Linked DNA regions of Rattus norvegicus. The protein of the gene in region 3 purifies or fractionates together with the protein of the main gene of each other region. This does not show direct contact. Links are inferred from orthologs where the notes say so. Each region holds a gene or a part of one and is shown on either strand. Other genes may lie near its edges.

The links.
Region 1: the proteins of Polr3e (region 3) and Polr1d purify together in Homo sapiens (affinity purification with mass spectrometry; 3 studies listed by BioGRID and IntAct, with this or other methods). This does not show direct contact. The link is inferred for Rattus norvegicus from reciprocal best matches to the Homo sapiens genes POLR3E and POLR1D.
Region 2: the proteins of Polr3e (region 3) and Polr3gl purify together in Homo sapiens (co-immunoprecipitation; 5 studies listed by BioGRID and IntAct, counting the BioPlex papers as one, with this or other methods). This does not show direct contact. The link is inferred for Rattus norvegicus from reciprocal best matches to the Homo sapiens genes POLR3E and POLR3GL.
Region 4: the proteins of Polr3e (region 3) and Gpn1 purify together in Homo sapiens (affinity purification with mass spectrometry; 3 studies listed by BioGRID and IntAct, with this or other methods). This does not show direct contact. The link is inferred for Rattus norvegicus from reciprocal best matches to the Homo sapiens genes POLR3E and GPN1.

Annotation. Positions count from the first base shown.
Region 1 is NC_086030.1:13,113,923-13,121,974, reverse strand, and holds the start of Polr1d (DNA-directed RNA polymerases I and III subunit RPAC2), read left to right. Parts: upstream 1-3,905; 5' UTR 3,906-3,940; coding exon 3,941-3,966; intron 3,967-8,052.
Region 2 is NC_086020.1:186,803,166-186,810,674, forward strand, and holds part of Polr3gl (DNA-directed RNA polymerase III subunit RPC7-like), read right to left. Parts: intron 2,033-7,509; 5' UTR 1,991-2,032; coding exon 1,865-1,990; intron 1,561-1,864; coding exon 1,431-1,560; intron 681-1,430; coding exon 612-680; intron 327-611; coding exon 270-326; intron 1-269. UniProt on the Homo sapiens protein: DNA-dependent RNA polymerase catalyzes the transcription of DNA into RNA using the four ribonucleoside triphosphates as substrates. Specific peripheric component of RNA polymerase III which synthesizes small RNAs, such as 5S rRNA and tRNAs.
Region 3 is NC_086019.1:184,921,484-184,927,804, reverse strand, and holds the end of Polr3e (DNA-directed RNA polymerase III subunit RPC5), read right to left. Parts: intron 6,089-6,321; coding exon 6,011-6,088; intron 4,120-6,010; coding exon 3,994-4,119; intron 3,041-3,993; coding exon 2,984-3,040; 3' UTR 2,267-2,983; downstream 1-2,266. UniProt on the Homo sapiens protein: DNA-dependent RNA polymerase catalyzes the transcription of DNA into RNA using the four ribonucleoside triphosphates as substrates.
Region 4 is NC_086024.1:30,680,441-30,688,617, forward strand, and holds the start of Gpn1 (GPN-loop GTPase 1), read right to left. Parts: upstream 4,572-8,177; 5' UTR 4,555-4,571; coding exon 4,444-4,554; intron 3,848-4,443; coding exon 3,754-3,847; intron 1,950-3,753; coding exon 1,910-1,949; intron 921-1,909; coding exon 854-920; intron 1-853. UniProt on the Homo sapiens protein: Small GTPase required for proper nuclear import of RNA polymerase II (RNAPII). May act at an RNAP assembly step prior to nuclear import.

The DNA.
Region 1 (8,052 bases), on a different chromosome or scaffold from region 3:
GTTGACATGTCAATCACCCATGTGGCAGCTCACAGGACAGAGCCTGAGCCTGAGCCGGACTCCCTGTACGCTACCATCCCAGTTTTAAACTGCTCCTTCTCAAGCCACCATCATTCATTGCACTACCTCACTAATACTGTTGCCATTAAAGGAACAACTAATATTTATTCAGCGCTTGGAATTCAGCGCCACAGACTGTGTCGAGGGTATGACATGCGTAATTTCACTTGATCCTTACACCTTACTAAACAGTACTATGACTATTTCCTGCCTGTTAGGGAATCAAAACCAGATGGAATAGTAATTTGAAAGGCAAGTGGAGGGGGTTGGGGATTTAGCTCAGCGGTAGAGCGCTTGCCCTGGGCTAGCAAGCGCAAGGCCCTGGGTTCGGTCCCCGGCTCCGAAAAAAAGAAAAAAAAAAAAAAAAAAAAAAAGAAAGGCAAGTGGAAGAACCCGACTCCTCTTTTGCCTCCATAACCAGCTTAACCAGTCCATACTCACCCCCCCCCAAAAAAAAAAAAAAAAAAAAAAAAAAAAAAACCAGGAATCACAGGGCATAGTGGCATAGGCCTTTAATCCCAGCACTCTTGGAGGCAGAGGCAGGTGCATCTCTGAGTTCAAGGCCAGCCTGGTCTACAGAGTGAGTTCCAGGACAGCCAGGGCTACACAGAGAAACCCTGTCTCTAAAACAAAAACAGAAAGCAGACAGGCAAATCAAGAAACCAAGGATCAACGTCTTTCACTGCTCCTACCTAGTCACTCTCTGAGGAGTCCATACCGCCCGAACGCCACACCAGCTTTCTTCACCCGCTGATGACAAGCTTTGGCTGAGCTTTTCCTGAGCCATAGCCATGACTGTTTTTATTTTTTCAGGTTTTCAAACCCACCAGGCTAAAATGCTAAAGAGCTAAGAGCGGGTAATAAAGCCCGGCAAACACAGATAATATGCACAGAGACTTCACGGTAGCCCCATTCTGTTTCTCACTCTTGGGACCCCCACTGTCCCCCAGCTATCCCTATGGAATGCAAACCTCACCACAGCATCTTCCTGCTTGAAATGAACACCCCACGATCACTGACTGGATGAAGTGTCCAAACGTCTTCATGTGCTACACAAAATCCTTTCTTTTTAGTATTTCAACAGATATCTGAGGGTCCAGTTGTAGAACATACCATGAACCCTACCTAAGATGAACAAAAAAACCAGCCCCTGACCCCTATTACTTTAACCCCAAACATTGTGTTCTTCAGATTAACCATACGCACAGCAGATAATGTCACATTCTACAGCCATAAGCATTTAGGATGCTCCCAGAGAGAGCCTGTGCCAATTCCTCTGACACATTCTAGGCAGAAATGATTTTAAGTTCCCACATTACTTTGTTCAAATTACTTTCCGGTAGTGGACTAAGAAGTATACAGCCACTGAGCAACTTTGGGCAAGAAATGATCCCTTTCCTCAAAGTTGCCAAAGCGGTAGACACTGAGTAGCTAAATGTTTATACAATGAAAAGGCTCAAACTTGAAGATTAGAGGAAAAGAACACAGACTTAGTGGATGGACTAAATTAAAAGCAATGTGACTCTAGAGCTGTTCTGAGTTGGCCTACATTTGACCCCTTTGGGAAAACTCACATGGAATTTGGACAGGCTAAAATGGCAAAACCTTCTTAGCTCTGGCTCAACAATGATCTGCAGGCCAAATAGGACACTAGATTCCCCCAGGTTCCTTCTTTACCTGCCAAAGTCCTTTTTTCCGAAGGTGTGGGGGAGGGAGGGTGTTCAAATCTATCAAAGCAAACAGGATTGACCTACTGAGATCCAACTTCGTCTGTGCTGTGTCACTGTACAGGCTAGAGAAAAAGCAAATTGTGTCCTGGGAAGGAGGCCAATTTCTAAGTACTGTGACTACAAAGAATGTGACATTCTTAAAGTGAAGGCAGTTTGGATAAACTGGAGCTCACAGAATCCTCCAACTATCCTTGCCATTGGTTTCTGTGATTTTATTTTTAAAGAAAAATTGGCGGGGTGTGGGGCGCACGCCTCTCTAACCCAACAGCACTCAGGAAAGAGGTGGATCCCTCTGAGTTCCAGGCTGGCCAAGGCTACAGAGAAAAGAAAAATTGATTCGAAAAAGCCACGCGGAAGCGTCCTTAGGCTCCTGGCAAACACACAATCTTAAATGCAAACGGAAATACTAGAACACTCCATTTAAAAAAAAAAAAAAAAAAGCCCTTGTGTGAAACGTGGCAGAAAGCTTTCAAAAGCCAGCGATGTTTTTCCCCAAGAGGTGTTTTGTGCGCAAATGCTTCCAAATCGGGATTCATATTTTGGAAATTATACCCCCACGCTCCCAAACATGTCAAATCTGAAGAGAAAGGTGAGACTTCCCCCGCAACAGGCTGGGGCGGGGAGGAGGGTCTCTCTGCTCATCCCTTCCAGGGAACAAAACCAAAGGGCAGCTGGCTAGCGCCACTCTAGCTCCCGACAACGTGCAGACGCGAAGTGCAACAACTCGTCCTCAAACGTCCATGTCTTGAGAAGCGAGAGGCGCGCAGAACCGCACCGGGTCTCCTGGAACCTGCACCCGCACCGGGCCGGGCCAGACACCACGCGGCCCCCAGCGGTTCCCCAGATGGTCCCCCCTACCCTGACGCCACACCCCGTCACCGCCCGCACCTGAGGCGAAGTAACTCACTGACGGAAAGCGGCGGGCTCCCCGCGGGCGCGCTAACGAGGACGCTACCCGGCTCCGCTCTGCCGGGACTCACCGCCGCCGATTTCCTGGCGAGAAGCAAAGTCCGGCCAAGACTTTACTTCTCAACCGCCCCTGCTGCCTTTCCCCTCGGGGGCGAGCGCAGAGGCCCAACCCGACACGCACCTGAGCCAATCAACGGCGGGCGAAGGCGGGACTAAGAGCGGGCTTGGAGCCGCTCGACCAATCAAGGAATTCTAGGGGCCGGGTCGGCCCTGCTCATCACTCCCGAGTTAGAGTGAGCGCGTTCCGCCCTCCGCCATCGCTCCCGGCCGGATTCTCCCCTCAGACACACAGAGAAGACGCTCGGGAAGTGTCTGCGTGCACCCCTGGAGCGCCGCGCCTGGCGTGGGACAGCTGAAGGGAGGGGAGGGCTGCGGGACCAGGCTGAGGGAGAACAGGTGGCGCGGGGCGGCTGACGTGTAGGTGTGCAGGGCAAGAGGACAGCTGGGTGGGGCGGGGATCCAGCCTGGCCAGGGTCAGGTGGGAGAAGAGAGGATGCACCTGAGAAGGGCGGTTCCTTGGGTTCAAAGGGAAAAGGAGCTGCAAGTCCACCGCGTGAGCTCCGGAGGAAGGAGGGCGGTGCTCCAAACTCTCACTTCTCTCCCAAAAGAAAGACAAACGCTGCCCTTGCACCTATTGGAGATGTACATTTGCACCCCTGGGAGAAAATAAAAAGCCCACAGTATCGTCAGGAAAGTCACCTCTGCACACTAGTCTCTCTGCTTTTTCAAGGTTGCAATATGCTGGGTGCCCCAGGAAAGGCCCCTGAGGACTCCGGTCCCGGGAATAGCCAGCCATGGGGCAGTCCCGTTCCTCGAGACTCTAGCAAGTCAGAGATCCGACCCCGACGCTAAATAGCAGATGTCTCGGGGCAACAGGCGAGAAGCCTGTGATCTACGGTAGCACTCGGGGACAGAATGTGCACCGCAGCCGCCTGGCTTCCGCAGTTCCAGGTGAGCGGTCCAGCCCGAGCCTGGGCGTGGTCGGGGGCGGGTTCTGTTTTAGCCCCGCCCTTCAGAGGGGGCCCTGCCGCGCCGCTGCGGCTCCGCCTCCCTCCTTCCGTCATCCGCTCCTTCCGTCGGTGGTTTCTTCCTTCCTGCCTTGTCCCGCACCTTTCGCGACATGGGGAAGATCTTCCTTTTCGCCAGCGCCACCTGAGGATTTCCCGGAGCCGCCCCCCGCGATGGAGGACGATCAGGAGCTGGAGAGGTAAGGTTGGAGGCAAAGAGTGGAGTGGGGCGGCGGGTCGGGCCAGAGAAGCGGGTAGCGAAGGGGCACGCGGCCGACTGAGCCCGGCGTGGCGGCTAGGCCTGACCCCAGGCGCTGGGGAAGGGAGGAGAGAGAATAGAGCGGGCCGGGTTGGGAAGAGGGAGGAGCCGTGGGTTCATTTATAACAGAAAAGCCCAGAGGGACGCTAGCCATCCGGGATGGGAGAGAGGTAGGGAATCCAGCTGTAAGTCCCAAACTGCCACCACCCTCATTAGAACTGCCTCGTGTAAGGTCACGCACCGGGCCAGCCGTCCCGAGTGGCGGTCCTGGCGTGTTAAGTTAGCTAAAGTTACTGCAACTCCGCTCTGTGCAGACTGCTCGTAAATTCTCTCTGTCCGCCAAATTCTCCCTCCTATTAAACTTTTCACTTCCTTTCACTTAGTTTCCTTACCTCTTTCAAACGGAAGCTGTAACTGAGCCTGCCACCCTGATACCTTGTGGTTGCCATTTTTATGCTAAAGTAATCGTGTTTTTTATGCCTGTCAACTCCCTTTTCATCTAAAGCAGGGCCTACCCTATTATAACTCTGCCCCTTTCTTTGCTCTATCCGAAGATTTTTGCAAACAATTAACTTCGTGGGTTGTTTTTCTTTTGTTTTGTTTTTTTTCTGAGGTGGTACCCACCCCCTTGCTGGAGTCAAATGAAGTAGGGAGAAACGAGTTAAATATTTATGGCTAGAAGTGTGGAGGCAGGAAAATGAGGCAGTGAATCTTTAAGAGTTAATCAGAAAACGATATTCCGTATGATCTCATTCTTACACAAAAAAATATGTGTGTAGAAAAATATCAGGATTGAAGACCTCAATGGCTGAAGGCGAGAGGAAGACAGCCCTGGAAATGGTCCAGGCAGCTGGAACAGATAGACAGTGTGTGACATTTGTACTACACGAGGAGGACCATACACTAGGAAATTGTCTGCGGTACATAATCATGAAGAACCCGGAAGTGGAATTTTGTGGTTACACTACGACCCATCCTTCAGAGAGCAAAATTAATTTGCGAATTCAGACACGGGGTGCACTTCCAGCTGTTGAGCCGTTTCAGAAAGGCCTGAATGAGCTCTTGAATGTCTGCCAGCATGTGCTTGTCAAGTTTGAGGCCAGCGTAAAGGACTATAAAGATAAAAAGGCAAGCAAAAACGAACCCACGCTCTAGTCCCTCGTGCAGGGTACAAGCAGGACCACCCTCAGGATGGTACAGAGCCCAGAACTAGAATTGGTGACTACAGCATGTTCTGTCCTATAGGAAAATGTGGCTCTAGCTATTGACCCATTACAGCTTTTGGAATCTCTGCAAGTCTGTTTGCCTAATAAATTCTCGCTTTTGTTTAAACTAGTTTGAGTGGTTTCTCTTCCTTGAACCTAGATGAACCCCCAAGGATGGTGTCACCCCTTAATTGAACCAACACTATAAGTGAACAGATGTAATTGGGCCGAGTCAGAGGTTGTGATCACAGATCTTAAAAAGACTATTTCTATATGATCGAGATGCTGTGGGAAGGAGAGGTAAAGTAGAATGAGGTCCAGGACACTATGATTTAAAAGGCTGGAAAGAAGATTGGAAGAGGGACTTGAGGTGGTGTTTGTTTTTACATTTTCCTTGTATGTGCACACAAACATGCCGTGGTACATGCATGGCAGTCTGTTCTCTCCTAACGCCATATTGGAGCCATTTGATGATTGTTGGGCTTCACAGCAAGCACCTGTACCCACTAAGGCATCTCCGGGCTGTTTTTTTTTTTTTTATTAATGCAAATGCTTCTTTGATATGATTAGTAGACTACCTTAAGGATGAAGATAATGTGAAGTACTCCTCGGAGTTTTAATTTCGCAAGAGAATTTGAATTGGTATCAAGCTCCATCTTCGTAGCTTTTGTAGGATGTCAATTTATTGCTTGAATTCCAGAACACTAATGAAATATGTAGTCACGACATGAGTAAACCAGTTTTTACTAGGTTTCGTGCAGGCCTGTTTGTGTGGATATGTATGCATGCACATGGAAGCCAGAAGTTAACCTTTAGTTTGGTTGGTTTTAGGGCACGTTCACCAGCTAGCCCCGGCTGACTTGGAATGCACTTGGTAAACTTGCCCTTGCCCTAGTTTCTCACATATTGGGGTTAAAGGGGTTTGTCAGTTAGGCTAGGCTACCCCAGGAACCTATTTGTTATCTGTCTCCCGAGCATTGGTGTTGGAAGCTTAGCCACCCTGCCCAATTTCTTTTACGTAAGCTCTGGAAATTAAAATCAGATCCTTAAAGTTTGTGGCAAGTGCTTCAGCAACCGAGTTGTCTCTCCAGCTCCAACTTTAATTATTGGAAAGACTGGAATTACCAGGTAACATTTTTAGTCTTTAGGTAGGAGCCCAGGGTTACATAGAAGAGATAACATTTGTTAGAAAGTCAGGATTTGGAGGAAGAGAATTCTGTACAGAAGAAATGACATTTTGCAGAAGAAATGACATTTTGGGAAACTAACAATATTAACAAAACTTTTCACATCCCAAGAGTCATCTGGTTTATCTCTTTAATCGTTTGTGTCTTGTAAGTATTCTACCCAGGCGTGACTTAATTCACTCTAAGTATCTGTCACTCCTGAGCCGAGTCACCTCTTGCTCTTGAGCTTTGGGATCTTTGGTGATGCTTGTCTTCAGTCAGAACTCCACTTTCTGCCAGGGATGATGGTGCATGCCTGTAATCTCAGCATTAAAAAGATGCAAGCAGGAGAATTACAAGTTAAAGATCCAACTGACTTGAATAACAAGAGTTTGCCTCAGAAAAACAGCACCAACATACATACATGCTTTTAATCCCAGCACTCTGGAGGCAGAGGCAGAGGCAGAGGCAGGCAGCTCTCTTAAGTTTGAGGCCAGCCTAGTCTTCAAAGTGAGATAGGAAGTCCAAGGCTACATAGAGAAACTCTGTCTCAAAAAGTCAAAAAAAAAAAAAAAAAGGAACCTTTAGGTTATATTTGACCTCTTGTACCCTGCCAAGTGCCTATATTTCCTAGACTTGACCCACTTTTTAAAAAGATACTTTTGTACTCACTGAATGCCTGCATTGTACCAGGCCTTGAAAACAGATAACAGTGGAAACTTGTTTTTGTTTTTGGAAGAAGGGTTTCTCTGTAGTCCTGACTGTCCAGGAACTCACTTCAGACCAGGCTGCCTCCCACATGGTGGGATTAAAGGCATGAACTACCGCTGCCTGGCTTGGCAGTAGGAATTTTTTTAAATGGAGTTAAAAAAACAAAGTTTTAAACAAATACAAGGCCAGATAGAGAACTTGAGAAGTGTCTGCTTTGAACACAGAAACCAGGGAAGGAGTTCCAGAGATCGTAGGAAAAGAAGAGGCTATGCGGAGTGGAGAGCAAATGCACACTTGGGGGGAAATGTGAGCTCCTGAAGCAGAAACTAAAGGTTGGAGAACTTAAAGATTTCTATGGTTTAGCATAGCAGATAAGGAGAAGGGCCCATCTTCTTGATTCAGTGAGGAAAAGAGCTGGAGTGCTGTGTTATTTCCATTACAGAGTGGGATGATGGGGCAAATTGTAGCAAAACCAGACCAGAAGTGGCCCAAAATGCTGATAACACGGACAATAGGGAGAAGGGTGAAGTCCTAGGAACAGGATGTCAGATAGAGAACCAGATGTTTCCATCTCCTGTCTAGGTTCGAGGCCAATTACTAGGACAAGGAGCTTAGAAGTAACTTGTGTTGTGAGGGTTGCGGGCCCTGGGAGAGATACAAGCTGAAGGTAACCATGTGAGTCCTGATCATAAAGATGTAAGTCAACAGAGGCTGGAAAGTGATAAGGAAGGGGCCGGGAAGCAAGCCTCAGGCAACCTCAGTGTTAGGTAGAGTATATACCTGATGAGACAGTAAATTCTGCTGTGGAAGATGCTGAGTAAGTCAGCCCTATGACTGGGGAAGAAAAGGTCCTTTGAAATTAGCCCAGAGGCCACTAGGCTGTGGGTCGAATTCATCTGGGGTCTAAGGAGAGGACTCTGCTGAGGAATGACTTGGTTTGAGTTT
Region 2 (7,509 bases), on a different chromosome or scaffold from region 3:
GTGTGTGTGTGTGTGTGTGTGTGTGTGTGTGTGTGTGTGTGTGTGTGTAACACCCAGGCAGACGTTAGAATGAGTCCGTCCTTCCAACTCCATCACGTGGGTCCTAGGGATTGGTGGCAGGTGTCTATCAGCTGAGCCATCTATCTCTCCCTCCAGTCTAGCTGAGCCTACGCCACCCTCCTGCAGCAAACGCGGCCCTCTGCTGCCCTCGTGTGGTCATTATGGCACCGGCTGACGAAACCTCCTCCTCCTGCTGCAGATTCACTCACGCTCCTTCTGGACTTTCCGCACTCGAATCTTGAGCTCGCTGGGTAGTCGTCGCCAATCTGGGAAGCGTGGAAGTGAAAATCATTAGGACCTTGTCTGGCTAGGGGTTTCCGGAAATGATGGCTGGTACTGAGGGAAGGGGAGTATTAAAAAGGGCAGGAAGGAAGGGGTTGGTTTGAAGATTTTCAGAATAAAACTGTAGGCTGGACGCCTCTGGAGAGGTGGGCACTATCGTTACAAATAGGGTTTTCAAGTAGAAAGTGTTGCAGAGCACATGTTAAGACTCTTGTTTTTAGATGTTAAGCATCTGAAAGAAGGGCATTTGGAAAGGACCAGTCACCTACCAGGGTTCCAATCGATGGCGTTGTCAATCGGCCCAGACATCTGATACTTGTCTGAGTAACGTTCCACATCTGGGGGTCAGAGCCCATGAGTCACAGTTTTATCCTTAGAATATTTGTTCCCAAGGGTCTACTCCTCTTATCTATTGATGGAAGGGGTTACCCCTTTTATCTATCGATCGCCTTACTCTAAACCCAGAGCCCAGTGGTGCCCACTTGGGTGGAAGCCTTATTTCTCCTCCAGCCTGCCTTTTTGTTACTCTTGTCTTTGTCCAGAATCCTCTTCTAGTGTGCTCCATGGGACAGGATACACTGGAATAAAGACCAGGGTTCCGTCTTCTGTCTCCCTCTCACTAATGGGTTAGCTTAGTAAGTCTTCCACCTCTGAGCCCTCAGCTCCCAGTAGAGAAGCAGACTCAGTAGACTCAGTAGAAAGGCATCAACTGGCAGTACTTCTCACAGGGCAAACATCCACTCACTCAAGCCTGCCAGCAGCCCTGCCTTCTCCAGTCCCCTGCTCTCACTAGTGAAGGGGAGAAGGCTTTGCACAGGTAGGATACGCAGAAGCCCAGCATCAAGGTCTCTCCAATCGATGAATTGGAAATCCATTTGTACCCCACTACCCCATTTGTACATTTGCACTATGATGCTAATGCTTTAATGTCCCACTAACCCCAAGATTAAGGTTCAGCTCAAATCTCCAATAAGGTGATACATTTCAGACACAGACGGAACTTTAATGCTCTCTCCATTAGACGTAAACTTTAAGCCTCTCTGGCCCCCAGTATGCTGAGCGGGCTCTGCCCCAGCCTTCCTACTGACCTCTCTTGGGGACAGCTGGCCGGATGAAGTAGGGGAGCTGCCTCATGGCCCCACGCAGCTCTTGCTTCAGCGCCAGGACATACTCCCCTTCCTCTCCTGCGGGCAGAGGCACCGGGTGGAACTCCAAGGGCTGAGGAAGCACAGTGGTTAGTGCTGCAGTCCAACCTTAAAGGACCTGTCCCCCAAGTAAAACCCAGTGTTCTCAGTAAGAATTTGGAGGGCCAGAAAGATGGAGGGCACTTTGAGAGCTGGAGCGTGGAGGGTGTGAAGAGTGAAGATAAACACTTCTTTGCCTGGGAAACACCTCCTATGGGAAGTCACTGTAGAGACAGAATCAAGGTGTGGATGGCTCCTGACGGGCCAGGAGGACTCTGTGCTCACAAGGATTCAATGAGGGCACATGGAAGGCTTAGGAAGGGAAGGGAGACACTCACAGGGAAGAGTGGAGAGGGCTGCAGAGTGGGTGGAGGCAAAGCGTCACCCTTCCCAATGCCTACAGCCTCCATGTTGAAGGTCAACTGGCCTCGGCCACGACCCCGGCCCCCACCCCGGCTGGCCATGGTGGAGGGGGCCTGGATACGCAGAGATCCAGTGAGAAAAACCTAATAAAGACAAAAACAAAGAGATAAGAAGTATACTAGAAGAGACTCGAAGCCAGTGGGCTGCACCGCCTGTGGTGTTCTGTGGCAGGTGACTTTTTGTCTCTGGGGCCGGGTTCAAACCAGGGCTCTTCTCATGCTAGACAAGCACTCTCTCTACCTTTGGGCTACATTCCAAGGCTTTTCTGTGACACTCAAAGAAGCCAACGTGCTGGGGGCAGTGCGGGCACACGCCTTCAGTTTTAGCACTTGGGAGGCAGAGGGAGGCATTGCTTTGAGGAGAGCATTGCTTTGAGTTCGAGGCCAGTCTGATCTACAGAACGAGTTTCGGGACAGCCGAGGATACCCAGAGAAACCTTGTCTCAAAAAAAAAAAAAAAAGGCAAATAAATGAAAGATATAATTAATTAATTAAAAAATAAATAAAACAAAGTCGGAAATGATACCACAAAGCTGTTTTCCTAGCTGCATACTTGGAAGGCGGATTGCCTGTTTGAGGCTAGCCTGGTCTACACACAGTTCCAGACCACTGAGGGATGAATAGCAAGACCATGTCTCAAAATAAACGAAGCTGGCCCCAGCTCCGAAAAAAAAGAACCAAAAAAAAAAAAAAAAAAAAAAAAAAAACGAAGCTGGATTGATGTTCAGTGGTTAAGATGTGCATTGCTTTTGCAGAGGAATAGTTTGGTCCCCAGCACTTGTGTCTGGTGTCTCATGACGGTTTGTCACCCCAGCTCCAGGGAATCCAACACCCTCATCTGGCCTCCACGGGCCTCTGCAGTCTCATGCACACACTTCGAAAACATTTTTAAAAATAGTTTTTAAACACGATTTGGAGAGATGGCTTGGTGGGTAAAAGTATCCGGTGCTCTTTCTTGCAGAGGACCTGGGTTTGGTTCCCAAAGCTCACATCAGGACATTCCCAAGTGCCTGTGACTGTAGTTCTGGATCCAATGCCCTCTCACAGCCTACAGACACTTCTACAGAAGTGGTGCACATTCAGAGAAGTAAAAGTAAATAATACCTAAAAGTGCTAAAACATTCAGCTAGGGAGATGTCTCAGTGGTTGAGAGTGGGTGGGTACTGCTCTTCCAGATGGCACGAATTTGATTCCCAGCTCACACACAGACTCTAGCTCCAGGGGCTCCAATGCCTTTGGCCTTCATGGACACCTGAGTCATGTGTATACACAGAGATCACATAGACCCATAATTAAAAACAAGACCAATTTGTTCAATTTTTTGAGATCTTTATTTATTTTTATTTTATGTGTATGGGTGTTTTGCACTCATATATTATATAATATATAATATGAGTGTAGTGCCCATGAAGACCAAAAGAGGGCACTGTTTCTCCCGAGACTGGAGCTACAGGTGGTTGTTAGCAGCCTGAAGTGGGTGCTGGTACCAAACTTGGATCCTCTAGAAGAGCAATCAGTGCTTTCAATCACAGAACCATCACTTCAGCTTCCAATACAATGAAATAAATTAATATTAGATTATAATCCCAAAGTAAACGCCATGAGTCCATCGTGTTATAAGTGACTGGGAAAAGGCAAATGCGTCATGCAGAATTCTAAACAAACCATGTAGATAGCACAAGCTAAAAAATAAACAAAGTTAACAGGAAAGGAACATAATTCCTGATTCTTCAGAATGGGAAATTTTGTCCCACGTGTTTTGGCAAGTTGGAGTGTATGGGGTCCCTTCTAATGGACACCATTCCAGTTAGTGACCAAGATCAACATCACTGGCGACTCACAAGGACAATACAGGTGGGTTTTGTTTGTTTTGAGACAGGCTTTCTCTGTGTAGTCCTGGCTGTCCTGAAACTCACTCTAGACAATATGTATTCTTAACATGCAGTGACACATTTGTTTCCTCTCTCATTTTCTTGATTTGGGGTCTCCAGGAGCCCGGGTTGACCTGAAATTACCTCTGTAGCAGACAATGGTGCCCTTTTAATCTGGAGGTGCTGGGACTGCAGGGCATGTGCCTCCTTCCCTGTCTCTCTCCTGTCCGTTCATCCTTCCTTGACAAGGTTTTACCGTGTTGCCTAGGCTGTCCTTGAACCCTTGTTCCACCTCAGCTCCAAGTGCCAGACCTCCATGCCAGGGCTGGATCCGAAATGACACTTGTAGCTCTGTGACCCTCATGCCCAAACCTCCTCCCAAGACCAGATTAGTCCCTGAAGAACAGCAGCTTCCGACAGAGGATATCCTACAGCATGCCTGACCAGTTCTCCTCAAAACTGTCAAGATTATTAAAAATAAGAAGCTGAGAAACTGTCAGAGCCCAGAGGAGCCCAAGGACATGAGACAAAATGTTCTGTGGTATCTTGGATGGGATCATGACACATGAAAAGACCATTATATAAAAAGTGAAGAAATCTGAGTGGAATATGAACCTTGAATAATAACATATCACTAGTGGTTCATATGTAACAGATACATTGTAGTAATATACAACATTAGTAAAGGGAACCCTGGGGATTTTCTGCTCAGTTTTTCTGTAAATCTATTCTTTAAAATTTTTGTCTCATTATTTTGGTCACTAAATTACATGCCCAGCCCTGTAATGTGGTTTTCTTTCAGGCAATGGGCCTTCATGATTGTTTCTTTTCTTTCTGTTTGTGCATTAATTTTCCCTATAATGTATGAACACTTCTTTTCTTTTCTTTTTCTTTTTTTCGGAGCTGGGAACCGAACCCAGGGCCTTGAGCTTGCTAGGCAAGCGCTCTACCACTGAGCTAAATCCCCAACCCCGAACACTTCTTTTATAATAAGAGAAAATAATTAGGTAGGCATTGTGATTGGAGCCTGTAATCCTAGCACTTGCGGGGCTGAGGAAAGAGAACCGCTAAGCCAAGGAGTCTAGAGCTAGCCTATTATACTGGCTGGTTTTGTGTGTCAACTAGACAGAAACTGGAGTTATCACAGAGAAAGGAGCCTCCCTTGAGGAAATGCCTCCATGAGACCCAACTGTGAGGCATTTTCTCAATTAGTGATCAAGGTGGTGAGGGCCTGTTGTGGGTGGTGCCCTCCCTGGGCTGGTGGTCTTGGGTTCTGTAAGAAAGCAGGCTGAGCAAGCCAGGGGAAGCAAGCCAGTAAGTAACATCTCTCCATGGCCTCTGCATCAGCTCCTGCTTCCTGACCTGCTTTAGTTCCAGTCCTGACTTCCTTTGGTGATGAACAGCAATGTGGAAGTGTAAGCTGAATAAACCTTTTCCTCCCCAGCTTGCTTCTTGGTCATGATGTTTGTGCAGGAATAGAAACCCTGATTAAGACACCTGAGCTATGCAGAAAATTCTAAACTTGTGATCCTCCTGCCTCTACTTCCCAAGTTCTAAGATTATAGGTATGTGCCAACATGACCAGCCAACAAATAAAATTATTGATTTACAATTTTAGTTAGGGACCCAAGGACGTGTCTCGGCAGGTCAAGGCCCTGGGGCATACAAGCTGACAACCTGTGCTTGATCCATGGAACCGATGGGAAACAGAAAGGAGAATCACTGTGGGCTTAGAGGCTAACTAGCCTGACATTCACTTCTCAGTGGTTAGAGACCCTTGCCTTAATAAGGTGGGGGAGGGGACAGATGAGGTCAGAGAACGCTGAGGATTCTATCTCTCCTTCACATAAACATATCACATAAAGTAAGAGTTTAAAAATTGAATTAAATGTAAATATATTTTATCTCATGTACAAAAATCATATATAAGATTTATAATCTGTAGCAGGAAGAAGACGGTGTCTGAGGAGTTAGGGGTCTAACTACCATTATAAAAATGGAAGGGAAAGGGCTGGAGAGATTGTTCAGTGGTTAAGAGCACTGACTGCTCTTCCAGAGGTCCTGAGTTCAATTCTCAGAAACCATATGGTGGCTCACAAACATCTGTAATGAGATCTGACGCCCTCTTCTGGTGTGTCTGAAGACAGCCACAGTGTGCTCAGCTGTGGAGAAGCCAGGGGCTCTGAAGCAGAGCAACCAGGAGCTAAGACAAAAGGCCACAAGCTCGGAGCTTAGACTTTAATTCCATTCCACATACTCCCACACCACACAGCTGACCACCACAGATGCAGAGGGAGAGACAGTGAACCCTATCTAATGCAGGCATTAAGAGGGTGGGCACTGGTGGGCACTAGACGGCAGTGGTCTTCCCTTCTCAGCTTGAGAATCTATAATGAATCCATTTAAGATTATAAAAAAAGGTACTGTGCACTCAAAAGCTCCTGGCTATGGAAATCAAAGGACCAAAGGGAGAAGCTACTGCTGGAACTCTGTAAAAGGCCTTCTAAATCAGAACATGGTTTTAGGTTATGGGTTGGTGCTGCTGTTGGCTTTGGTCAGCAAAGCTTCCTTTTGTTACAGGAGGAGGAAGGAAAGGGCTGCACCCTTGAACTCCCAGCACCTGTGACTAACTGCTCAAGACCAGCCTAAGACTCGGCCTGCTAACATGCCGTCACAGAAGGAGGGGGTCATGGGCCCTACCCTTCCCTGATTATAAGAAGTTATGGGAGAGGGAGGGACATTTTCTTCAGTGCTGTTGTAACCACTGGTAAGGTTCTCATTCTCCTGTAAAGAAACCCTTCCTGAGACACGGCTGGTGGGGCACACCTTTAATCCCAGCACTCAGAGGGCAGAGAGAGGCAGGTGCACATGAGACTGGCCTGGTCTAAACAGGAATGTGCAAACCAGCCAGCCAAGGCTACACAGTGAGACCTTATCTCAGTAAATAAGTAAATAAAAATAAATGAATGAATAAATAAATGATTTCTTTCTTTTTTTTTTTTTTTGGTTCTTTTTTTCGGAGCTGGGGATCGAACCCAGGGCCTTGCGCTTCCTAGGCAAACGCTCTACCACTGAGCTAAATCCCCAACCCCAATAAATGATTTCTTATGTTACTATAAACATCCCTATTGGAGAGATGGCTCAGAGGTTAAGAGCACTGACTGCTCTTCCAGAGGTCCTGAGTTCAATTCCCAGCAACCACATGGTAGCTCACAGCCATCTGTAATGAGAGATCTGATGCCCTCTTCTGGTGTGTCAAGGACAGTACGGTTATATACATAAAATAAATAAGTAAATCTTTTTAAAAATTATGGAATCACACACACCAAAAAGACACAAAAGCACAAGGAGGTCTAATTGGAGAGAAGGTTAGCAGAAATGGAAGAGGGAGTGATAAGAGAGGGAAACAGCCTCACCCACGGCGTGTGGATGACACTCCCCACTGTGTGTGTGTGTGTTTGAGTTTGACAAATACTGTACAACCAGCCAGCGGTGGAGCATGCCTTTTATGCTAGCACTCAGGAAGACTCTGTGAGTTTGAGGCCAGCCTGGTCTACAGAGCTTGTTCCAGAACAGCCAGGGGTTCACACAGAAACTGTGTCTCAAAAAACAAACAACAACTAAAAAACAAGAAGAGAAAGAAAGAGAGAGAGAGAGGAAGGAAGGAAGGGAAGAAAGAAAGGAAGGAAG
Region 3 (6,321 bases):
CTCTTCTATTTCTTTTTAAATTTTTCAAATTGGCCATTTAGTTTCCCTGACTTAGCAGAACTTGGTTATCTTGTTTTGCTGACTTTGAATTGATGTTTGCAGTCTGTTTCTGGTGCTTAGTCTGTGTTCCCCAAACTGTACTTGATCCTTGTTGATAATGTGTTAATGTATGTTTGAAGTAGAAACTTGTTCCACGTTTTTTAAACCATCTGGCAAAGGTCACCCACTCACCTATCCAGTTCTAAGGAAGCCATCTGTTTTGCAAGCTTGTTGGAGTCCTCAAAATGACTTTGTTCCAGGTCAATAGGTAGAAGCCTGGCACCTAAGTTTACTTTTGAAACCTGAGGATCTGCTGAGGTATACCAGTTGACTATGTATGTAGAGTTGGGCTGGAAACTGGGTTCCTAAGAGTGGACCTCCAGTTAACTAGGTAGATACCCTGGGATAGGCAAAGATCAGAGAGCTACCTGGGACAATCTAGATACTGGGCTCATAGGGCTAGCCTGGATTAACTAAGGTCAGACCAGTGCTAGGATTTACTGGAAACCTTGCTTAGGTCTGGAGCTGCAGAGGAATGAAAGGGAAGGCCACAGGGTCATGCATGGCATTGGATAGGCTTGGAACATCTTCCTTGGTACCCATGGCTAGCCATGTATCAGTGGGAGCCAAGTGATGCTGGAGATGGGCCTGAATCATATAGGATCAGCCTGATTCTGGCGTGAAGTCCTAAATCAGCACTGAATGAACAGTACCGAATGAGTGTTGGCTTTGGGGTCCAAAGCAAAGGCCAGTGCTTACTTCCTGGTTCTTTCTGTGAGTTTATTTTTCACACAGACTGGGGCTAAGGAAGGTGTGTTGTAATACTGTGTTCCTCTTTATTAAGTGTTGTATGTTGGGTTCTAAGATCTGTAGTGTCCTTAGCTCTTATGAAGTATTTTTGCTTGTGGATAGTTAACTGAGTTGATGTTTCTGTGGAAGGAAGGAGCTGAGAGGTGGAAAGTGCTGTTGTCGCTGTTGTTACTGCTTTTCTTCAGCATCCCATTCTTCCTCTCTTAAGTTCACTCAGCTTTTGGAATTCAGTGTTGTTTTTGTTTTTATCTAATGCATGGCCTTAGATGCACAGAGACTGAACTGAGTCAAGTTCTTCCTATATGGTCTGTTTCAGCTGTGCCAGCCCACATGAGGGCTTCCCCTTTCAAAGGGCAAAGGACCCTAGAATATGGTAAGGACATGTTCCTCATTGGTTTGGTAACTTTTTTTTTTATTTATTCATTTATTATATATAAGTACACTGTAGCTGTCTTCAGACACACCAGAAGAGGGCATCAGATCTCTTTACAGATGGTTGTGAGCCACCATGTGGTTGCTGGGAATTGAACTCATGACCTCTGGAAGAGCAGTCGGGTGCTCTTAACCGCTGAGCCATCTCTCCAGCCCGGTTTGGTAACTTTTAACTGAGTTAACAGCTCATATGTGTTAACAGTTACCAAGAGCCACCCTAGTAATCGATGTAATTAACAAATGTTCATTGGAGAGTACATCCCTGATTGACGCCTTACTAAATTATACTAAAGGGTCTGATATTTCTTCGAGAGAGGAGAGCACAGAGCATTATTTCAACCCTTGGCAATTAGTGACTGCGCTGCACAAGATGTGCTAGAGCAAGAAGTCTTAACTAGGTGGCAGACGTCATCTCACCCAGCCTACCTCACCTTTTCCCTGTCTTCTAGGACTATATGATCTGGCATGTTCACCACAGCTGAAGTTTGGCAATCCGGCATGTAAATCATGGCTCTGAGGGGTTTAGAAGTGTAAAATACCACATTCTGAAGACTTAGGTAAAAAAAAACCTTTATTACATTTTGATTTAAAATATTTGGGCCTGAAGTACATTAATATCTACTTTTAAAACTATTTTAATGTAAGTACTAAAACCTTCAAGGTTAGTCAGCTCTCACATTCCCACAGGAGGAGTACTAGCTCCCTTCCCTACTTAAGAAGCTGGTGTTCACTTTCCATCCTCCTTCCCTTCCGCTTGCAAGTCTGCAGCGAGCTAAGGCCACTCTGTGACTGTCCCTGTGTGTGTGGCGGCCTCAGCAGTGTGAGCAGACCAGTCTTCAGACCAACCTTGCAAGGTCAAAGTGAGTATCACCTGGTGTGATGGCGTCATGGTCTCCCTTCTCTCTCTGTACTGAATGCTTAGACAGCACAGAGGACATTTTCTTCCTGCAACTATTTGAGGACAGCAGCACCATGATGCCAGTTTAGTGTTAGCATTTATTTTAAAAATACACAAAATATAATTTTTTTTACATCAAAGTGATAACCTCGCTTACACACTGTTCCACACTTACCTGGTTCCATTTGCACCTTTATGCAAACAGTAGGAGACGATGGAGTTAATAGAATGTTTGCTATGGTCTGTGTAAACAGTTGAGACCGCTACAGAAAGCAGGCTGCTGTATAAGGTAAAGTGGCCTTAGAAACCCAACAGTAAAATGTTCAATTTGGTTTAATAAAATTGGCAGAAGTCTTAGCAGAGAGAAACTCTAAGACTAATTATTAGCTTCTAGGCATTTTAAATATTAAAAACCTTAAGGTTCTCTTCATCTTGTAAACATAACTTTAACTATGTTGGCATTCATTTAAAAGAGGAAAATATTAAACCATGATTTTCATAATCCTGCCCATGTCAGTGTACACTCTCTTTATTATGAGAATGAAACCCAATAAGCAAAATACATCAGGAATTTCAAATTGTACTGCAAAGAAGGCCCGGCTGGTCTCTGTTGGGAGCGATCTCACTTACGCTGACCCTGCCACTGGCTGAGTGTGAGCCCCTCTGTCCTCTGGGCCAGGCAGTGCCACAGGCCACCAGGTGGGCAGATCCTCTTCCTGTGTCTTGAGGCAAGTCGAGACTACGTGTGGCTCTGCCGTCCTTCCCTGGGCTTGGGTTCGTTGAGTTAGTGGTTTGCTACTATTGTCAGGATTGTACTGTCCCCTTAAGGTACCACATGCCACCACAGCTTACACAACAGTCCTAGAAATTAAGAAAACTGGGTAAGGGCAGGTTCCGGCAGGAGAGAGCTATTGCTGTCACAGCCTGACTCACGATTAGCGGACAGAGTGCAAACAGGACATCAAAACCTGCCTAAGTGTGCTGTTGGGTAGCCGCTTTGACCCTATCGGGTTTCCAGCCACCATACCTCAGGGACATTTTAAGATGTGTTACAGATTTTGCTGTATCAACAGAAAAAAACTTTTCAAGTTGACTACGACAAGGGACATATTAATAAGGCCTATTGTCTACATGACTAAAGGTAACAGGGAATGGGGCAGTGGCTTTCTGTGCCCACCTCTACAATGCACACAGTTCATGAGAGCATTCAAAGTGTTTTCACATTAAGCAAACAGAAACTCCTCTTTGTCGTTGTTGTTTGGAGGCACGGTTTCTCTCTGTAGCCCTGGCTGTCCTGCAACTCACTCTGTAGATCAGCCTGGCCTCAAACTCAGATCTGCCTGCCTCTGCCTCCTGAGTGCTGGGATTAAAGGTGTGCGCCACCAGTGCCAGGCAGTATCCCTTTTTTTTTTTTTTTCTTTTTTTTCGGAGCTGGGGACCAAACCCAGCCTAGCAAGCGCTCTACCACTGAGCTAAATCCCCAACCCCCAGTATTCCTTTTTTAATTAAAATTAAAAAAAAGATTGTACTGTCAATTATACAAGTGGGTGCAAGATGATGTACACCTCCTCATACCCAGTCCAACTCTGCGGCATGAAAAGGCTCACTTTCCTGCCAGGGTACCAGTGCTAGTCACTGCCAGTTGATGGCCATCAGACTGGTGGGCACTAGGGCTAAGCTGTTCTGATTTACTATATACACAGCGGGAACAAAGATACCAGACACAACCTTTCCACGTATGTGTGTCCTTAAAACAACAGGTCAAAGTCACAGCCTAGATGCTCTGCGTGACATCTTGTGCACAATGGACATACCTTTAGCACTTTATCCACCTCCTGCTTGCTTAGCTCTTCTCCACATTCTTGAGTCAGCCGAGACTGGATCATATTCCGACGTACTCGGTAATTTTTGGAAAATATTTCAAGCAAAACCTGTCGATGCTTTATTTAATTTAAAAAAAAAAAGTGTTAGTTCGATAGTGATAGTATCCCAAATGTGAACTATCCCCAAACAAAAGATCCAAAATGATGGCGCTGGCCCCACCTTGCAGTGTCTAGTGGCTTAGCACTCCTGGTTAAAGATTAGCAAGACCGACCTATTGGTCACTGTTGCAGACTTCAGTGAAGGAACTCAGGATGAGCAGTTTGGACATACAAGGAAGTGAGCAGAAGCATCTAGTTTAGACTGGGTGGGGGAAAGGTATCTAAATTGGTTCAAAGTCTAGACACAAGCATAACACTGAATCCAGGAAACTGGAAAATGCACCAAACTCCTAAAGAGACATTAAATAGCAGAGGACAAATAAGGCCATCCTCAAAACAGAAGGGAAGAATGAAAACTGACTGCAGAGGGTGATGACTCACACACACCTCACAATCCCTGTTGGGAAAGGGGCATCAGCATGAGTTCAAGGCCAGTCAGGGCTACAGTGAAAAATTCTGGTCTCAAAAAATGGGCAAAGACGACATCTAGTAGGTTTAATAGCTCAAATGTCTATAAGGATTCAAAAAGGTAAAGAAATTTATCAGCCTACAGGATTCTCTAAGAGCCCAACTGTCTAGTAAATAAAGAATTCAGAATACATCAAGGTCCTACCAGTGTAGGGAACAATATACGCCATGCAGTTTGCAGTTAAGGGAAGATCTCACGAGAAGAGTATCACTGAATTTCAACTTTGAAATGATTACGATACCCTCTTCCTAACGGGGGGAAATTATTTGCCCTGTAAAATTTTAGTTCTATTAGTACCAGCAGTACTTGAGGGCAGAAAGAAAGAACGCTGTCGATATCCCATCAGAGGCTAAGACTCTAGACACAGGAAGAGCCACACATGGAGAAGCAGTGTCCTCACATTCCACAGGAGTCGTGCTGCTGGTCTGCTGGGGTCAGAACAGCAGACTAGTGCACAGAGGAAGTGAGCGGTGAGATGGCTCAGCAGAGAAGGTGCCTGAAGGCCTGAGCTGGCTCTCTAGCCCCACATGTTGGAGAGGAAGCAGTAACTGCAGCATGAACATGTTCTGTGCACTAGCATGTGGTAACCACTGATCGGCTCACAGTCACAAACAATCGGTCACCTCTGAGGGCAGAGTCAGCTTCCCCACAGTTCTTTAGGCCCTGTTCAGTTTTAAATGAACTTACTACTTTTTTTCCCTTAGTGATCTGAGAAGCTAAGTAGGAAAGCCTCAAGCTACCTTTCTTGGCCAAAAACAGGGTCACTTCAGGACTCCTGTTAGAAGCGAGGCCTCATACCCACTCTTGCTCTCAGCCTTCCTGTCCCCCTGGCAAGTAAAAGGGAAACAGGCTTCAACAGGATTCACTCCTGTCTCAACCTGACTGGCATGTCTGCTAAAACCAAAACACTTTAATCTTTGGAATTCAGGCAAGTTCATGATTTAAAGGCATCTGGACCTCAGCTCTTTCCCAGAGCTGAACTACCCAAACACTGGAGACAGGATCGCAGAACAAAATAACCAAACTCCAGGTTTAAGACAGCTAATAAAAAAGCCACTGAGAACTCTCCTCTGCACGTGGTTTCCAAGCCTGCCTGCATCACTATCATAGAGCTCTAAAGCTCAGAGTGAGGCCACCATACTGCTGGAAACAGTCATCTTTTCAAAGGTGATACTGTTCTAATTCGACAGACATCCACCCAAGTTCAGGGGCAAACCACTGGCACACATGGCCTATCTTGGAGTGACTGGAAAACCTGACATGTCCAACTATACTCTAGTGTCAAGATTCTAATAGCCTCAACCTTCTAGGACTCCCGCTCTTAAAAAAGAAAGACGACAAAAAAAAAAAAAAAAAAAAAAAAAAAAAAAGGCACCTCACCTGGTCACTCATGTCTCCAGACTCCCAGAGGGCAAATACCTTCTGCTCATCAGGGGAAGCAGCAGTCTGTGGGGGAAACTGGCCCAAGCATGAGCTGGTCATTTCTCTGCCTTGTGATCTGCTGCCCTGCCCACTTCAACCCACCTAGCCTGCAACCCAGCCCTAGGCAAGAGCGGTCGAAGCCTAGTTCTCCCACTCACTGGCTCTGAGATGACAGTGCGACAACAGGTATTGGGATGGCATTAGTGTGTGTGATGCTGCTTTGAGGCATCTACCTGGACTTCTACTCTAAAGTCTCCTCTTCCCTAGCA
Region 4 (8,177 bases), on a different chromosome or scaffold from region 3:
AGGTCTTAAAGCGGGGTGGGTCCCTTGCACACGTGCCACGTCTGTCTGTTTTAAAGAGATCAGGCTCTGTAGGCCAGGTAAAACCCGTCCCACCTGGTTTTGGTCAACGTTAATGTCTTAAGTGGCAGAATCAGATTACAATGATTATAACCCCCTCCCATGGAAGTAAGTGTGATGGTTTGTAGATGCTTGGCCCGAGGAGTGGCTCTGTTTGGAGGTGAGGCCTCTTGGAGTAGGTGTGTCACTGTGGGTGTGGGCAATGAGACCCTCCTCCCAGCTGCCTGGAAGTCAGTATTCTGCTAGCAGCCTTCAGTGAAGATGTAGAACTCAGCTCCTCCTGCACCATGCCTGCCTGGATGCTGCCATGCTCCTGCCTTGATGATAATGGACTGAACCTCTGAACCTATAAACCAGCCCCACTTAAATGTTGTCCTTATAAGAGTTGCCTTGGTCATGGTGTCTGTTCACAGCAGTAAAACCCCAACTAAGACAGTAAGTGGTGGAGGAAACCGAAAGGGTGACAAATACTTGTCAAGAGAAAAGGCACGAGTATGTCCCCATTCCTTGCTGTAGCTGATCACCGTGCCCTATCCTCAATTCCTGGCCAGGGTAACACCATAAGCTGATAAAGGGCCAGAGAAAGAACCCAGGTCTTTTGGATTTTTGTCTTCTCACAGGCATAAAATGTGAAGTGTCCGAGCCATTCATAGGCTATTTCCTGGCCTACACAAACACCTGCTTATTTTTGGTATCTCGTCATCTTTGCTGTTCTTCTACCAATGTGATCAAGCTACGGCATGTGAAGAGTCAGAATTTCACAGCGTCAGGTCTGTGAACGTAAGTGATGTCATACCTGATCAAACCTGGTAGCGAAGAGGTTGAGGGAGGTCACTATGCCGCCGTTTGGCCCAAGTCCATATCTGAACGTTCGGTTACGGATTAAATTGCACGTATGAGATTATACAGTTAGTACTTGGTTGTCATCCATCCAACGCATTATGGTATTGACGTCCAATTAACGAACGGGTGCTGGCAACCCAGGCTTTGATGACCACCCAACCCCAGTGTTTATTAGCAAGGCTCTCATTGCTGATCTCTCGTTTTAGGACTGGCCACACAAGGTAAGGACAATAGTGTGACTAAAAGTTAACGACTACACACGTCAAACAGTGACAGACTGCTGGCATCACCAGTTAAAATCATCTGTGTAGCCAGGTGTGGAAGCTCAATACCTTTAACCCCAGCACTCAGGAAGCAGAGGTGGGAAGATCTCTTGAGTTCAGGCCAGCCAGGGCTGCATGTAACACTCTTTATCCTGATTCTCACTAGGCAAGCAACCCTCCTAAGGTTACTTAAAGAGAGTTGGCTGTCATGCTGAAATTAACCCATAAGAATATAACTCAATGGGCTGGAGAGATGGCTCAGTGGTTAAGAGCAGTGATTGCTCTTTCAGAGGTCCTGAGTTCAAATCCCAGCAACCACATGGTGGCTCACAACCATCTGTAACAGGATCTGATGCCCTCTTCTGGTGTGTCTGAAGACAGCTACAGTGTACTTATTGCACTTGTAATAAATAAATCTTAAAAAAAAAGTTTTCTGGTCTAAATTCCTGTGAGTAACTTTTTAACCGATGACTGTATGACCCAAGGCAATATCACTTCCCCAGGCCCAGGCAGTCAACAGCTGGCCATGCATCTTCTCGGCTATCCGAGTTATGTTAAGAAAATGGAAGTATTATTGAAATCTCTGATCTCTCCTACACTCATCTTGTTCATCTTATGTCCTCTTAATATGATTACTGAAAATGAAGTGAGTTTGCTTGTATTGTCCCAATCTGACAGGTAAAACCTCTCCCCCAAAGCAATGAAAGGCAGCAGTTCACCATGACTGCTGACGAGAAAAAGGATACTGCTTCATGACTTCTTTGTACTTCACTGTGTCTCGAATATCTGAGGGGAAAGAGAGAGAATGGTTGCCTTTATTTTTTGAAGCATGACCTCATTTGTTGGGACTGACTTTGAACCTCCCAAGTAACCCAAGCTGTTCTCCTACCTCAGCCTTCCGAGTCTGAGGCTATACAGAAGTGTCACCATATCTTACCAGCATTTGCTTATACCCTCCTCTACACTTTCTTCCTGACTAGGGATAACTGCCAAGTATCCTATGAAGGATGTTAGACTCCTGGGCCTGGTGGCACACACCTTTAATCCTTGGGCTCGGGAGACAGAGGCAGATGGACCTCTGAGTTCAATACTGGCCTAATCTAGAGTAATTCCAGGACAGCCAAGACTACACAGAGAGACCCTGTCTCAAACAAACAAATAAACAAACAAAAGGTCAGAAGCTCTTAGTTATGATAGACTAAAATAAGATTACAAGTTTTAGACAATTTCAATGGTAGTGGGCACATGCACAGGAAAACCAATGAACAAATAAAAACAAGAAAAGAAAACTTACTAGCCGCTGCATGGTAATGAAGGCAATTCGTAGACATAGGAACAATAAAACTGTCTATTCAGATCTACCACCTCCTATCTGCCAGGGCTAGAGAGATGCTCAAAGATTAAGAGCACTTGAAGTTCTTACAGAGGACCCAGATTTAGTTCCCGGCACCCACATGGCAGCTCATAACTATCTGTAGATCCAGTTCCAGGGGTTCTGCATCCCTCTTCTGGCCTCTGCAGGAACCAGATACACCCATACATATAAAATGAAAGTAAATAAAAACAAACCTACCCCCTAGACACTAGATGAACAATATTACATTTTTATCCTTTAGTTTAAATAGAAAACTTGTTGCCCAATCTTTCCAAAATGATCAATGATTTTTGTTGTTGTTGTTGTTCTTGTTTGTTTATCAACACAGGGTTTCTCTGTATAGCCCAGGCTGTCTTAGAACTCTCTCTATAGAAAAAGCCGGCTTGTAACTCAGAGATCTGCATGTGGCTTCCTCCTGAGTGCTGGGATTAAAGGCGTGAGCCACTACTGCCTGGCCTAATCTATGATTCTTTTTTTTTTTTTTTTTTTTTTTTTGGTTCTTTTTTTCGGAGCTGGGGACCGACTAATCTATGATTCTTAAACAAGATTTCCACCTCCTAATTTGTATATGGGGTATAAGAAGCTTAATAGGATTAGCAAGAGACCTGGGAATCAGGCTCTGGACCCCCAAGAGCCCTGTCAGTGGATTACAGGCACTTTCATAATAAATCTACCCCTCACCCCCACTTTTTCTTTTCCAAACAAGGTTTAGCTATGTAAGTTGGACTGACTCAACTCTCAATATTCTGCCTCAGGCTTCCTTGGATCACACCAATACTAAATCTTTCTGATAGTCTCAAGCAGAACACTCTCCTCAAAACAACGCATATTTTTTTTTTTCTTTTTTTCGGAGCTGGGGACCGAACCCAGGGCCTTGCTAGGGCCTTGCTCTTGCTAGGCAAGCGCTCTACCACTGAGCTAAATCCCCAACCCCAACAACGCATATTTTTACACACACACACACACACACACACACACCCATAACTTTGGAAATGGAAGGAACCTTTCTACAGATCAGAGTGAATTATAGCAGAACTCATAAACTCTGACAAAAGAAACTAAACGATTCATGTGTCAGGTGGCACTGAGGACAAAGAGAGGGGGTAAATGAGAATGATACATAAGAGAGAGATAAATCTGAATAAGCAAGAAGCATGTTCTGGAACTCAGGCAAATCCACAGAAAAGCAGATAGTTAGTTAAAGAAGGCACTCACCAATATTGGCGGGAAAAGGGACTTCATGCACAGCCGGGTCCAGATTGATTACATATGGTGGACAGCCTTTGTTGTGCAGGTGTCCTGTGAGCCTCTGCAAAAACGGCGGCAGGGTCGAAGTTTGATGACCAAAGGACAGGAAAGGGCCCAGAGAATTCCCATTCCTTTCTGACTATTCTTATAACAATCTCCTTCTTCCCTCAACACTAAACTCTCAGTTTAAAAGCCATCTAGTTCCAGTACCTGATCTCTACCCTCCATCACGTCTTCGCTAACTTTGACCCTCTTTTCCTTCTCTGTCTCCTCTACTAAGACATTCACTCCGTGAAAGCAAGAACCATGTCGATATCATTGCCGCTGTATACTCAAGAGCTTAGAACATGATAGGTCAAACGAAGTGATTCTTTCACGACTCTTCACGCAAAACCAGTGATGCTGGCATTACCTCCCCCTGCCTGGGTCTTCGGAGAGCTGCCAATTCTCAGCAAGACTATTTCAGCTGTACCAAGCATACACTAAGGCTACGCAGGAGACTGCCTCAAGTGACCCAGGCTAGGGTTCGAGGCTTCGGGAAGGACCTGGAGTCAGAGGCCAGCCCCCAGAAAACCACGCGCCCAGACCCTCCAATTCCCCAGACAACTTCCTCTCGGGCCTGAGGCGCCATTACAGCCTCCACACAGTGCACGTCACCTGTACAAAGGTAGTTTTCCCGGATCCCGCCATTCCCAACACCAACAGACACACGGGGAGCTCCGGAGCCCCGGAAGCCTGGGGCTCGGCAGGAGCCGCGGGCGCCGCCATCTTTCCTCAGCCACGCCCACCACTCACAGATGGGCCTGCGGGCTGCGGACTCGCTGCATTAAGGGCTGTGATTGGTAGAAAAATCCGCCCTCTTGCGTATAGGGCTACGATTGGTCGGACGATCCGGCCTCTCTGAGTTTAGAGCTGCAATTGGCCGGAATAGCCAAACCGCGCTTTGGGCACCAGACTGGCTTCTAAGCATCCGACTTACAGGGACTATAGATGCTGTACTGTAGGTGCCAATAATGGCTTTGGACTAGTGACCAGGAGTATAGGGAACCAGAAAGGGTTGATAAGGGTAAGGTAGGACCCGGGAACGGCAAAGTTCCCAGGGGCGTAATGACGTGGGATCCCAAGCCAGGATCTGTTAAGATCCTAAGGTTAACGGACTAAGGTGGCGTTCCACCCTTTATTTTATTGGCTAAGAAGGAAAAAAAAAACTTTAAGCGTCATTTCGTTCAAGAAAATATTAAGTAAAAATTAACGTAACACTTGAAAGATAGCATGAGGGGTTGGGGATTTAGCTCAGTGGTAGAGCGCTTGCCTAGGAAGCGCAAGGCCCTGGGTTGGGTCCCCAGCTCTGAAAAAAAAAAAAAAGAAAAAAAAAAAAAAAAAAGAAAGATAGCATGAATACTGTATTTTAAATAACAGAGGAAGAAACCTCATCACCAAATGCAAAGGGGAATTAAAGAACCGAAGGGTGTTTGTGGCTCAAGTGTAGCTGAGTAATACCGGAGGTTATGGGTAGAGGAAGGGTGGAAGAATCTCATGAGGAAAGGACCGTATGACAGAGACTGTAACCAAAGTCTTATTTGCTCACCCGTATGGCCATTCGTCCAAGGGAAAAAGAAAAGACTAGATGGTGAACCAAAGGCCCAAGGAACCAGAAGGCTTCTTTTTTTTTTTTTTTTTTTTTTTTTTTTTTTTTTGGTTCTTTTTTTCGGAGTTAGCGCTCTACCACTGAGCTAAATCCCCAGCCCCCAGAAGGCTTCTAAAAAGTCCCCTTTAAGAGTGAGATAAAGGGTTAGGGTTGTAGGTCAAGGGTGGCCCTGGGTTTTGATGACATTCTTGGAGAATGGATAAAACTGTTGAAGAACAAAAAGGTTGTCTATATCTATACATATCTCATTTTATAATGAAGTGTGCAGGCTGTCGAGAGGACTAGTTGGTAAAGTGCTTGCTGCGCAAACGTAAGGGCCAGAGTTCAGACCCCAGCACTCACATGAAAGCCCAGGCATGGTAGATTGTGGCTATAATTCCAGTGCTGAAGAACTAGAGACCGGAGAAACCCAGCAGCTCAGTGGCCAGCTAGCTTAGCCAAAGTAATCAGCTCCAGGATCAGTGAACAACGTCTTCTTTTTCTTTTTTTCTTTTTTTTTCGGAGCTGAGGACCGAACCCAGGGCCTTGCGCTTGCTAGGCAGGCACTCTACCACTGAGCTAAATCCCCAACTCGAACAACATCTTCTTAAAATACCACCAAATGGATAGTGATTGATCTTACCTGACTCAGGCCCTCTCTGGGCAGCACTGTCTGGCTTGTGTTACCTTCTAGCAGTTCAGTTAGTTTAACCGTGATGACATTTAAATTTGGTGTCTTTTTTAGTTACAGTTACGTGTGTGAGCGTGCATGTATGTAGGCCTGCATACCATAGTTTGTGTATACGTTAGAGGACAACTTGTGGAACTCAGGACTCCCCACCATGTGGGCCCCAGGGATCGAACTCAAGTTGGAAAGCTTGGATGTGAACACCTGTAATTATTGACCCATCTCCTGGCTGTGGCATCAGCAATATGGCCAGTTGAAGTTTTGTGTGGGGAGATTCTCTGATGACCTTTAATATCCTCTCAGAAGGAGAAGAAGGAAAGGGAGAGGGAAGAAAAGAAGAAGGGAAGGAGGAAGAAGAGAAGAAAGAGCAAGGTTTGAAATTCCTACTGTCTCAGCAGAAATGACTATCAATCATTTTCCAAGAGCAAGAGAAACCCCACCTGTTACGTTGGAAATAAAAGAAGGCACATGGCTGGTTTGTTTAGTTTTGTTTTAAATAGATTTGGGTAGCAGGAGAAGCTGGAACCTGAGGATCATTTGTTTTAAGGTCTTTTATAGAACACCTGTACTCCCATCGCTCAGAAAGCGAAGCAGTGAGATAGCCAAGTTCAGGGTCAGTCCCCGCAGGTCAGGAGTAATTTGAGGTGAGGGAGATATGTGTGGTACCTGAACCATACCCCACCCTCTGCCTTTTCAGGACTCCTTTTTCTTTTCCTTCAAAGGAAAGTGATCAGAGGACATAATATAGATTATGTTGACCACACTGTTTGATCTTGTAAAAATTCAGTAGAACACTACAACCAGGAGGCCACGTTTTGGATACATGTAGGTTGTTGATATTAATATGAGCTCTCAAGTATGGTTCTGTGTAGGTTAGCTTTGAGTATCAGCTCAATACAAAGAAGAGTCACCTGTGGGGACAGAGTCTCATTTGAGAGATTCCCCAGATCAGATTGGTTTGTGATCATGTCTGTGGGAGGTTGTCTTGAATTTTAGCCAATGTGGGAGGGTGGAGAAGGAGCTAGCAAACAGCACTCCACTGTGATTTCTGCTCCAAGTTCCTGTGGTAGTTTGAATAAGAATATTCCCCCACCTGCCCCCTATCCCTGCACACTCATATATTTAAATCTTTAGTCACTAAGGAATGGAACTCTTTGACAGGATTAGAAGGATTAGGAGGTGTGGTTTTGTGAAGGCAATGTGTCACAGGGGCTTAAGGTTTTCAAGAGCCCAGAGCTGCAGGTCCAGTGTCTGTCTGTCTCTCTCCCCCTCCCTCTCTACCTCTCCCCCTCCGTCCCCCAGCCCTCTCCCAGCCCTCTCCCCCTCCCTCCCCCAGCCCTCTCCCCTCCCTCTCCTCCCCCAGCCCTCTCCCAGCCCTCTCCTCCCCCTCCCCTCCCTCTCCTCCCCCTCCCCTCCCAGTTATTCTCCCTCCCCCAGGTCTCTCCCCTCCCCCTCCCCCTCCCCTCCCAGTTATTCTCCCTCCCCCTCCCTCTCCCCTCCTCCCTCCGCCTTCTCACCTCCCTCCCATCTCTCTGTTGGACGTGGTAGCTCTCAGCTACTGCTCCAATGCCCTGCAAGCTGCCATGATGATAATGGACTAAACCTCTGAAACTGTACACAAGCCCCTAGTTAAACGCTTTCCTTTATTAGAGTCGCCTTGGTCATGGTGTCGCTTCACAGCAGTAGAACAGCTTCCCTCAACAATGGAAGTAAAATAAACCCCTTCCTGCCTACGATGCTTTGGCCACGGTGTTCACCACAACAGACAGCACAGGTGTGCAGATGGGAAATGTAAATGAGTACAGTGTAAAGCCAGAACGGGGTGAAGCCAGAACAGGAGCCACATTGGATAAGTTTCTGTGTCCTAAACCTAGTGTACCCTGCAGAACATGCACTGAACTCATGACCCCATGCCTTACAAATGTTGTCAAGAAATCTCCATCTATATTGTAGTCCCTTGCCCCGTAATGTATGACTCTTCTTCCACCGGATATATATTCTTCTATTCTGCCTTTTGTATGTTTTCTAACAGCCAGTGTTCTCTGTCACACATTACACCTATTTGCTATTAACGTT